3 linked regions of the Danio rerio genome follow. The protein of the gene in region 3 purifies or fractionates together with the protein of the main gene of each other region. This does not show direct contact. Links are inferred from orthologs where the notes say so. Each region holds a gene or a part of one and is shown on either strand. Other genes may lie near its edges. The genes, in order: sntb2, sntb1 and adra1d.

What was found.
Region 1: the proteins of adra1d (region 3) and sntb2 purify together in Homo sapiens (tandem affinity purification; 4 studies listed by BioGRID and IntAct, with this or other methods). This does not show direct contact. The link is inferred for Danio rerio from reciprocal best matches to the Homo sapiens genes ADRA1D and SNTB2.
Region 2: the proteins of adra1d (region 3) and sntb1 purify together in Homo sapiens (tandem affinity purification; 4 studies listed by BioGRID and IntAct, with this or other methods). This does not show direct contact. The link is inferred for Danio rerio from reciprocal best matches to the Homo sapiens genes ADRA1D and SNTB1.

Annotation. Positions count from the first base shown.
Region 1 is NC_133200.1:37,503,903-37,507,562, forward strand, and holds part of sntb2 (beta-2-syntrophin), read left to right. Parts: intron 1-180; coding exon 181-382; intron 383-593; coding exon 594-736; intron 737-2,468; coding exon 2,469-2,665; intron 2,666-3,303; coding exon 3,304-3,482; intron 3,483-3,660. UniProt on the Homo sapiens protein: Adapter protein that binds to and probably organizes the subcellular localization of a variety of membrane proteins. May link various receptors to the actin cytoskeleton and the dystrophin glycoprotein complex.
Region 2 is NC_133191.1:15,526,521-15,530,180, reverse strand, and holds part of sntb1 (beta-1-syntrophin), read left to right. Parts: intron 1-1,822; coding exon 1,823-1,959; intron 1,960-3,660. UniProt on the Homo sapiens protein: Adapter protein that binds to and probably organizes the subcellular localization of a variety of membrane proteins. May link various receptors to the actin cytoskeleton and the dystrophin glycoprotein complex.
Region 3 is NC_133176.1:45,233,473-45,237,633, forward strand, and holds the start of adra1d (alpha-1D adrenergic receptor), read right to left. Parts: upstream 2,838-4,161; 5' UTR 2,487-2,837; coding exon 1,565-2,486; intron 1-1,564. UniProt on the Homo sapiens protein: This alpha-adrenergic receptor mediates its effect through the influx of extracellular calcium.

The sequences.
Region 1 (3,660 bases), on a different chromosome or scaffold from region 3:
AACTAAGCTCATAATCAATAATGATATCTCTAAGGATTTTTCATTACAGCTCTAATCATTTCAATATATTAACAGTATTTGGTAATAGTGAAATAAATATATAAAAACATATTCTTATGTGGAGTTAATTATTAATGTGTAGATGCATGTATTATGGTGCTGCATGTTTTTGTGATGCAGGTTGTTGGAGCTTCACTCTCCGGACGGTCAGCACACGGTGGTGCTGCGCTGTAAAGACGGAGCCACTGCTCACTCCTGGTTCACTGCCATTCACACCAACGTGGCGGCTCTTTTACCACAGACCCTGAGCTACATCAACACCTTCCTGAACAACGCCAACACTCACTGCACTCTCAAACACATCGGCTGGCTGGTGGAGCAGGTACGTCCATACAAGTCAGCACTTTATCCCTTTATAGGGCACTCAATAGCTCTGTTTCCTTCCGCCTCTTTTCATGTGCATTTTGGATTATTGCTATAAAAGTGCTTGATGAGACGCCAAGATGCGCATAAATTTGGAAAATGTAATAAACAGCATAATTTGAGAAAAATCTTGTGTTAGCTGTGTGGATCATGAATGTGTTTGCGTGCAGCTCGATATGGACGGCAGCCGGCATCAGTACAAAAGAGTCATCATGGCACTTACAGAGAAAGATATCCTGCTCTTCCAGGCTGTACCATGGACGTATGAGAGCTGGACGACTCCTGTATTAACACATCCGCTCCTCGCCACACGGTAACATTCAACAGTTTACCTTCCCTTCTTCACTGTTTACTTCACTCTGCTGAGAGCTCATTTACATATAAAAAATGGTCTACTTTTTCCTCTCAATACCAAAATAAATGCACAAAAATGCGGCTGCAGGTGCTAGTGGGCGGGGCTTTCTCCCTCTGATGACATCATACAAAGGGAGAATGTCAATCAAAGTGTTTCTGCAGACTGTTTTCATCATGTCTGATTATAAGCAAAGGAATTAATCAATTTTGACCATAAGTGGCTGGCTATATTCACTCAGTCTCACACACAACTGTGTTTAAACCCCTTATTAAAGTGATTTTTGCATAATAGGTGCCCTTTAAAATAAATATTTCCCACAAAAATGGTAGAATTTTGATCAAAAGTAAGCCTTAAAAAGCTGTTTTAGATGTTTAGCTACTATTTATTGCGCGTGATGTCTTTGTATTGTTGTAAACCTGCTATAGAAAAGTGATATTGATAAAATGTTTGTATATTTTATCAGGTTTTTGCTGATATAGCAATAAACTCAACCCTTTTCTCTCAGCATATATCATGGGCAGGGCTTGACATTAACTTTTTTGATCACCAGCCACTGTAGCTAGCAGTTTTCCAACGTTGCCACAATTTTGTTGTTGGGAAAATACATTTTATATGATTAAATTTGACTTTAGCATGCTAAAAATGAGTAATTTATTCATTTTGTGTTATGTCCGCATGCCTCCTTGTTAATGTAGAATCTTTTCTCTGGCCACACCAAACTATTTAGCTTTGTGCCACAAATTTTAAATGAGGTGTCAAAACAAGCCGAATAAAATGATATACATACACCTTTTATTCAATAAAAAACAATTAAAAATATTCTCATTTATCTAAAACTATACACAGTAATTTGTCCGGGCTAAACGTCCCAGATCACCCGGTAACTATAGATAAAAGGAGAGTTATCTTCTATTAAAGCAATGTTATTGTAAAGGATGATAATTAATTTACCAAAATAACTGCAAGCAAAAGAAAGCAGGTGGAAAACATTCTGTGTGCAAGAGTAAAAAGATGATCACGTGCACACAGTTAGCGTTAGGCCCAATAATAATCTGTTCAAGGTATGGTTAAAGCGAAAGCGGCAACCGCTGCTGCTTACAAAAAATCTGGACATCTCTTGAAAGCAGCAGGACTGTGGGTGCACGAGCACCGCTTTTTTTCCAATCTATTTCAAAGAGAGACAATCACACTAGTTGTGTTTCCAGGCACGGTTGTTTTGCACAAGGAAACGGGAGCTTTTAAGCACTCGCCCCCCTCACCCATTGATCCATTTTGGTGACTGTTGCTTTAAATTCAAATGAGATTGTGCTCTTTTTCTAAAAGAGGGAGGAGCTACAGATGCCTATGTGTCAGCATAGTGGCAGATTCAAAAACAAGACTAACGTTTTATGCTAATGAGGGAGAGATGGTCACTAGTGGGAGGGGCTTTCCCCCTCTGATGACACATACAAAGAGAGAATGTCAATCAAAGTGTTTCTGCAGACTGTTTTTATGAAGTGTAACTCTAATAAATAGAATTAATACATTTTTACCATTAGAAGCTGCTCATATTCATACACTGCTGATACACAACTGTGTTTAAACCCTTTGTAAAAGTGATATTTGCATAATAGCTCATCTTTTAAAAAGTATTCAATTTCACTGTCTGATTCCTCTATATACCCTGTTGTGTGTGTGTGTGTGTGTGTAGGCTAGTTCACTCGGGCAGTGTGCGCAGTTCTCCAGCTCTGGGTGGAGATCTGCTGTTCGCCACGCGCACCGGCACCGGGCGAGGGATCGAGTCTCATGTGTTCCGTGTGGAGACGCACTGGGATCTGTCCACATGGACACGAGCGCTGGTGCAGGGCGGACATTCAGCTGCAGAGCTCATCAAAGAGGTTTCCATAGGTGTGTGTGTGTTGTTTGTAATTAGACCAGTGTATACATTTTTTTTCCCAGTTTCTGCTGAACGGTAAGAAGATTTCTTTCAGCACATTTCTGAAAATAATAGATTTAATAACCCATTTCTAATAACTGATTTCTTTTATCTTTGCCATGATGAAAGCACATAACATTTGCCTTGATAGTCTTCAAGACACTAGTATTCAGCTTAAAGTGACATTTAAAGGCTTAACTAGGTAAATTAGGGTAAAGTTAGGTTAAATAGGCAATTATATTATATATATATATATATATATATATATATATATATATATATATATATATATATATATATATATATATATATATATATATTTTTATATATTTTTATATATATATATATATATATATATATATATATATATATATATATATATATATGTATGTATATATATATATGTATGTATATATATATATATATTTATATATATATATATATTTATATATATATATATATATATATATATATATATATATATATATATATATATATATATATATATATATATATGTATGTATGTCATTGTATAACGATGGTTTGTTTAGTAGACAATTAAATAAATATCACTTAAGGAGGCTAATAATTTTGACCCGCTCTCTCTCAGGCTGTGTGTTGAACAGGCAGAATGTGCGTCTGATCCTGCACTACGAGCGAGGATTCACAGTGACGCGCGAGTCTGGCGATTCTGTGCTCTTCCACTTCCCCTACGAGCGGCTCAAGATGTCTGCCGACGACGGAGTCCGAAATCTCTTCCTAGACTTCGGCGCTCCAGAAGGAGAGATGGTATGAACAGACAACATCCAATCTTTACCCGATGAAGATTTTATAACACGCGTGCAGTTCTGATGCATATCACCCTAAAATCCACAGTTAGGAGATCCAGTTTATAGTTGACTACAATGCAAAAAGTGCCTTTCTTTAGATTTCTTTTGTGTTGATTTTAGTCCAAATGTCTAAAATT
Region 2 (3,660 bases), on a different chromosome or scaffold from region 3:
GTACCTGGAGTAACTGTAGGCTAAGGCACACATTTAGAAGGAGCCTGGGGTAAAAAAAAATTTATCCACATTCCCTTTGTTAGAACCAGAAGCAAGGCAATGCAAAATAAAAAAATTTATAGAAAAATTATATATACATATTATAAAATTATATATATATATATATATATATATATATATATATATATATATATATATATATATATATATATATATATATATATATATATATATATATATATATATATATATATATATATATATATATATATTGGGTGCAACAGTTCAATTTACTCACGGTACAGTATGTATCATGGTTTTAGAGTCAAGGTTTTGGTATGGCACTGTTTGTGCTATGCTTAGAAAAAAAAAATGCCTACAGAACAATTCAAAGAACAATAAACATATTTATTGGGTGTCAAATACCTCACAATGCAACAGCCCCACACATATGACTGTAGATTTGCATATTCTCATGTTAATTAAGTAAAAGTAGGGCATTTTGAAAAATGTATGTTCTAATAATTTGTTTAAGAAAATAGGCTTAAATTTCCACTTTTTCTATTTTACATTTTACATATTTATGTCAACACATAACATATTTTACATATTTATGTCTACACATCTTAATAATTGAGCACTTTTAAAGTATTGATTACTTCTGTTTACATTATGCTTGTATTACCAAGGCAACAGTGCATTTTTCTTTATGATATTTATGATATATTTTACTTCTATATGACTTTATTATGATTCTAGAGAGCTCTGTTTCACTTGACACCATCGTAGTAAACGAAACTTAAGCATAGAGAGAGCGTTCGGCTCTTCTTTCTTATTCAGCAGGAACAGTGGGTAAACAGTGTGAATAGCAGAAGGGATCGGTGCGAAAGAACACCCAGCAGGAGTGGGACTGAAGTAACAGACCTGCTGTATGTCTGCACCTGTATTGGATGCTTCTGGGTCTGGACATGGACCTTGATCTGCCTGTTAGTGACCACTGATCTAGGCTATCTTTGCAATAAAAACAACAACAACATATGGCATTTGTTATGTTTTTGTGTCTGTCTGAATATATATTGAGTGTCACACTATTACATGATAAAATTGGACTGTTTAGATTAGTAAGTATTGAGTTCGGTAAAGTACAGGATGTTTTTTAGAGAACAATGACCTCTTATGTCAGCAGATCAAGGGGATTTTATATAGTCAGTACATGACCGCTTTAAACATGTTGTAACATTGTTTCTTTGAGGTCATCTAAAAGTTGCAAATGGCTTTCAGCATGTTACATCAGTGCTCATTTTGCTGATGAATCAGTTACAGTTTAAGAGGCTCAATAGTTTTTATACTCTGGCTTTGACTTTCCGACTAGTTACATGAAGTTTTCCTAAAAGAGAAACAGCCCAGAGGTTTACTGCTTGACCTGCGCTTATTTACATATCTCTCAGATTAACAAAATATGTAAAATGAAAGGACTCCCAAAAAGAAAACTGTCATAACTTACTCATAATCCTTAGCTTGTTCCAAATTTATGTTTTTTTATAGTAGTAAAAAATAGTTTTTTTTGTTTAAAGTTATGATCAAGTAGACATTGACTTCCATAGAGTTTTCATTTTCCTATCATGGATGTCAACAGGTACCATTTTCCAATATAAAATATAAAGTAAAATAATCTCAAAGGTCTGAAACTAATTTTTTTGGGTGAACTGTTCCTTTAGTGTCTAAAAATGAGAATGGAAAAATAGGATCAAATAACAAGGAGAAATATGATCAAATGTAATTACACGGTATCTAATTGAGGTTTTGTGTCTTTGTGTTTCAGACGGAAAGTGAAAGGCAGAGCTGGAAGCCGGTGCTCGTGATGCTGACGGAGAAAGATCTGCTGCTGTTTGACAGTATGCCACGCATGAGAGAACACTGGCTCACCCCGACACACACCTACCCTCTGCTCGCCACACGGTACACACACACACACATACACACACACAGACGTACTGCTCATTCATACAAAAACAATCACAGCACACACTTCTGTTGAACACATGCCTCTGTACAAGCGCATGCAAATACACATTTGCATGCCAGCTGGCAGAGATGACCAATCGGGAACTGAAACGCACAACTGCAATCTTCCTCAGCCAGTTGGAAAGAAACAGTAAAATTGCATTTTAAATGCCCGTCCGAGCAGCAGCTATTACTACAAGAGTAAGATTTGAGGTCCAATTTTAGCTGGACTACAGCCCGAATCTCACTCCAAAGCTGATAGGGCAGTTATCACAGCCTCTGCTGGCATGTGTTAATGTTTTGTTGACCCTAAACTGGCAGAAAGCGTAGCTAGGCTTTTTTTGTTGTTTCTCAGAACTTTTCTAAACTTATTTTGGCTCGACTTGCTCTGTGAAATCTCAAGTTTCTGTCAAGTCGGGCAGCTGTGCCAATGGTGAAAGCTCATTGGAGAAAATCCCACGCTGGGATATAGAACGCCACAGTGCCTGTCCACTTTTTTTAGTGGTTTCAGAAGTTGTTTTAATATTTATTTTTGTCCTTTAGGACGATTTTTAATGCTTTGTTAAAGGGCCATGAACACCAACCCCCCCTTTTTACCAGCAGGGTGTTTTTACACCTTTAATTTGAAAAAAGGAAAGTGGGTGTCCATCTTTGTTTTGGTGGGAGTGTCGAGTGGCAAAAGAGGGAAGGGTTTGCATGAAAAAGGGAGTTTCATTACATGCACAGCAGCTGATTTTTACACCGGCAACACAAACACAGACGCAGGGGAGATAGACAGTGATTCGGAGAACAGTGTTTACAGAAGATCTGAGAGCTGTGTGGAAGTGGAGGATTTTTAATTTATAATATTGTTGTGATATTACTGTAAACATAGTGCCTAAATCATTTTGACTAAGGTATGTCTTTAAAACTAAAAGAGTACTGCTGACGATACTAACTTACTTTGCTATCTGAATAAACATAAACAAAGAACATTGATCACACACTTACCAAATCTGTAGAGACAGAAAAATCAACACTAACTTGAACTGCATCTTTTTTTAATAGAAGTGGCAAATTTCCTGTGCAAACCTGCAATCTACTTGCCGTAGACTAGAGAACAGTGAATGTTCATCATACGTGTGTGAATGCAAGTGTGTTTGAGTGTTTCCCAGTACTAGTTTGCAGCTGGAAGGGCATCTGCTGTGTAAAACATATACTGGATAAGTTAGCCATTCCATTCTGACGAACCCTGATAAATAAAGGGACTAAGCTGAAGGAAAATGAATGAATGAATGAATGAATGAATGAATGAATGAATGACAAAACTGCACAATATAAGTTTACATAATGTATAATATTGAGCACTTATATTCCTTAACCCTTTTGTTGTCTTATTAGACATAATACTGACATCACAGAAATAATTATTAATGAATTATTATGTTTTAGAAAACATAGCATATGAATAATATGCTTTCTGCAATTTATTCTAGTATAACCATGGTATTTTTTAAGTATCTTGGAAAATGTAAATATCAAATGCATACATGCTATATCATTTTAATGTATTGATTGGGATAACCACTTGAGTTGAACCATCTATTTTTTAAGGAATATATAATATACAGAATTTCTTTTTCTTTATTTTTTTTTTTGTAATTTCCATCAAGGCTG
Region 3 (4,161 bases):
ATTATGTGCATTTTAATCATCCCTATTAATGTTTTCTGTATTCATAATAAATCATAACTGAGCATATAATATTATATTATATTATATTATATTATATTATATTATATTATATTATATTATATTATATTATATTATATGCATACTGTATATCCTTTAGAGTCTTAGAGTTTTAACTGTATAACTATCTGAACTGGTGTTTGTTATGCAAAGGCTATTATCACATACTGAATAGTATTTGGCTGATTTTGCAGCTGTTCCTACACTCTATGATGCCTCATTATATAGGCTATTTGCACCCCACGGAGCATAATGTTCTTCGAAAACAGTGATACATACACAGAGCACATTATAGTCTACACTCAAAAACAATTAGGAGTAAAAGGTGGAGCTGCTCTCAAATCTTGCTCAAAACTCCATTCATGTCATATACGCACACATTCAGTTTAAATCATTTTACAACCATATCATTTCATCATAAAAACAAAGAATGTTAGCCTAACAGAAAAGTGATACTGCTTTGTTTGTCGAGAAAAGCCCTAGTCATGACATTCAGCCTAACATTTTCATGATAATCCGAATGCTCTCCTGCTTTGTTTCGGACATTTCAATTCAATTCAATTCAATTCAATTCAGCTTTATTTGTATAGCGCTTTTACAATGTAGATTGTGTCAAAGCAGCTTCACATAAATGGTCATAGTAATTTCACGTTTATGTTGCTGTTTTCATTACTTATTAACACATAAATAAGATGTTTTTATTTAACATTTACTGTAAAATGTACTCTCAATGAATATTTAAAAAACAAATTTACTTTAGACAAAAGGAGAAAATTTGAATAAATATCTTTTCCCCCCCAAAATTTAATTTCAAAGTTTTCTAAAACAGACAAAGATATAGTTATAATCAACAAACATAATTTGCCACAAATTAAATCTCATATGAAACATACCTATAAATAAGATATCTCTTATGGAGCATAGCCTACATTTCTTAGCAGTATCAAATGTCTCTGCTAGAATATCATGAATCCAACAGCTTTGTAATTTATTTTCAACGTCATGTGGTAATCAAAAAATATGTTTGCCTTTTTTTATTCAGCAAAATTCGCATATTGTTGTTAATCATTATTTGAAGAGTTCAGCTGCAAAAACCTTGCTGTCTGAAACTTTCTACTAAAATGAACCATTGTCTGAGGCTCCTGTGTTCATAAATTCACATTTAAGGCTTTGAATAAATTATTTCGTTCCCTCTAAAGTGAAATATGCACGAACATACACATAAACTGAACATAAACATAGGAGGCTGAGAAAAATGCTCATTTTAGAAGAAATTTCAGACGGAGTTTTTGCATCGGAACTCTTTATGAACTTTTTAAAACTATTATAATATTTTTTAAATGATTTTTGACTTTTTAAATATCACTTTGTCAGAGTTATTTCTGTTGTGTTTGCGTTTTGAGAATGCAGGAAGCGCAATGAACTTTAATTTAGTTTGAATTTACTTACAACAGAGCTATTTATGCTCGTTTCACAACAAACACAGAACAGTCAAACTTTTACGTACCTAAAGGCAAAACGAAGAAAAACGGTAGCCAACAAAGAATGAACATCCCCACGACAATGGCGAGGGTTTTAGCAGCTTTCTTCTCCCTGGAGAACTTCATGAGTCTCACGGACAGTGAACTTCTGAACGGGTGATTTTTGGTTTTCGAACTCGTGCTCGAGTCCTCCGGCATGCTCCTGCAGTGTATCCTCAGCACCACTTCCATTGATTTATCTCTCTCCCGTTTCACGCCCGCTTCCAAACTTTTTGTAGTCCTGCGGGCCACGATGTATACTCTAATGTACATGACTAAAATCACCATGAGCGGGAGGTAGAAGGAGAATAAGGAGGAGAACAGAGCATAACCCGGTTCCTCCGTGATTCTGCAGATGCTCTCATCTGAAGGTGGAGGTTCCTTCCATCCCAAAAGCGGTCCGATTGAAATGACCATCGAAGAAACCCACACTAGCACAAGTATGACACCCGCTTTCCGTTCGGTCATGATAGTGGGGTATTTCAGGCAGTGTTTTACCCCGATGTACCTGTCTATAGATATAACGCACAAACTTAAAATAGACGCCGTGCAGCAGAGCACATCCACCGCTGCCCAGATGTTGCAAAAGACCCGACCGAACACCCAGCATCCCAGCACCTCCAGAGACGCGGAGAACGGCAGCACGATGATGCTCAGCAGAAGGTCCGCTATGGCCAAGTTCACAATGAAGAAGTTAGTAACCGTCTGCAGATGCTTGTTGCACAGCACCGAGAGAATAACCAAAATGTTCCCAACGATGGCCACCGAGATAAAAATGGCCAGAAAGATTCCCACGCCGATGACTTGAGAGTCGAGGGTGATGCCCTCACAGGTGGTGTTGCTGATGTTGGAGAGAAAGTCCGAGGGGAATTCATCCTTGCTCTCGTTCAGCAGTTTAGAAAATGTCATTTTTCAAACTCCATAAAGACGACTTTTACTGTTTCGGTTCGATGGTGTTGTCTGGTCTGTTCGTTGTGTGTTTCATCATCATCATCTTCTTCATCGTCACTCTGAGAAGGTGTCTTCAGATTCAGGTTCTTCAAAATGATCCAAGATATAGCCTATTTATAAGATGCTGTCTCTTGAACATCTAATCACACTTACAATTTTATCCATTACCTGAAAGATAACTGAAAGCATTTTTACACCTGTTTCTGAGGTAGAATGATCTAATAAGCTTTACATAACCACAGTGGCGGTGCACTGCATGTCACATGGAGAGGCTACTTCTTGTGGCATCCTCAGCAAACACTCCAAACTGCATCACAGAGGCTCAACGTGGACCCCAGTGCTCCAGGTCTCCTCCTCCAGCTCTGAGAACTTAGTGACGCGTCGCACACTTCCTGCACTTCTTCATACCACCACTAGAGGGTTCTGTGATATAATTATACATAAGGGACTGCTTTCATTTTAGAGTATCTGTGGGCTAATGCCATTTTATTTAGCACGTCTTCTAAGGTAAACAATCATGTAATATCAGTGATTTATGCATAACAGTTTTTAAAAATATAATTTTAATAAATAAAAGTGCCATAGAAATTAATGAATAAACTTACAATAATAGGCTAATCTATGTAAGACTTAGTTAAGTCATTTGCAAGAATGCTGTTTCATTGAGTTTAGTGACTGTGACCAGTGAATGTTAGATAGGCAGTGGTCAATTAAGTGTTTCTTCATGTTCTCTTTAGTTATAATATTACAAACAGCTCTCTAATTGTATATACCGTTTGTATAACATAAAAAATCTTTACTTAATTAGCAGCATTAACCTACAAGAAAAAAATACAACAACTGAAAATAGGACAACTTTTAGAGAAGGTTGAATGGTTTCATGGAAAGGGCAATGGAAAATCAACAACAACCACGTTTGCACAGTATGAATAAAACTAGGCCACAAAAACAAAACAATAAAAATAAAAAATAACTAACTGTAACCCAAAGTGTTTAGTAAATATTCAGGTCTGCTCAAATCATATTCACTCGACCAATAGCGCGAGCTTGTGGGCGTGGCTTTGCAGCATGAATCCAAATTGTTTTTAGCTAAGTGGGATAGCCTGATGGCTAACACGTGGAAACTTGAGAATTTAGAGTTGTTTTTCAGAAGTGCAGGGTTAATACAGAGACAAACAACATTGTAAAACAAAACTGGACACGTGTAGTGCATTTTAAACAGGAATTTGATGGAACATTTGCGTTTCAATCAAGACCCTGAACTTGGGGAGTTCCTCTGGACAGGTAAGCTAAACTCAAGTGCTTGTAGCACAAGTGAACTCTTAACTGTCAACCCCTATCAAAGGCTATCGTAAGGATATGAAGTATTATAAGAAAGAGTGTGATGACTGAAGGTTAAACTAAGAGGTTTGTTCGCAAATATGCTTTAATTTTTCAAATGCACCAAGTGGCATTAATATTTAGTATAAAGTACATGCATCAAATACATACTCTCTCTCTCTCTCTCTCTCTCTATATATATAATTTAAGAAAAAGTTAATTATTACAAATCACAGCGATATGTGTATACCCCTTAGACAAAATGTTCCTTTTCCAGTTGCATGTCCAGTGAATGTCAAGCAATTTACAATTG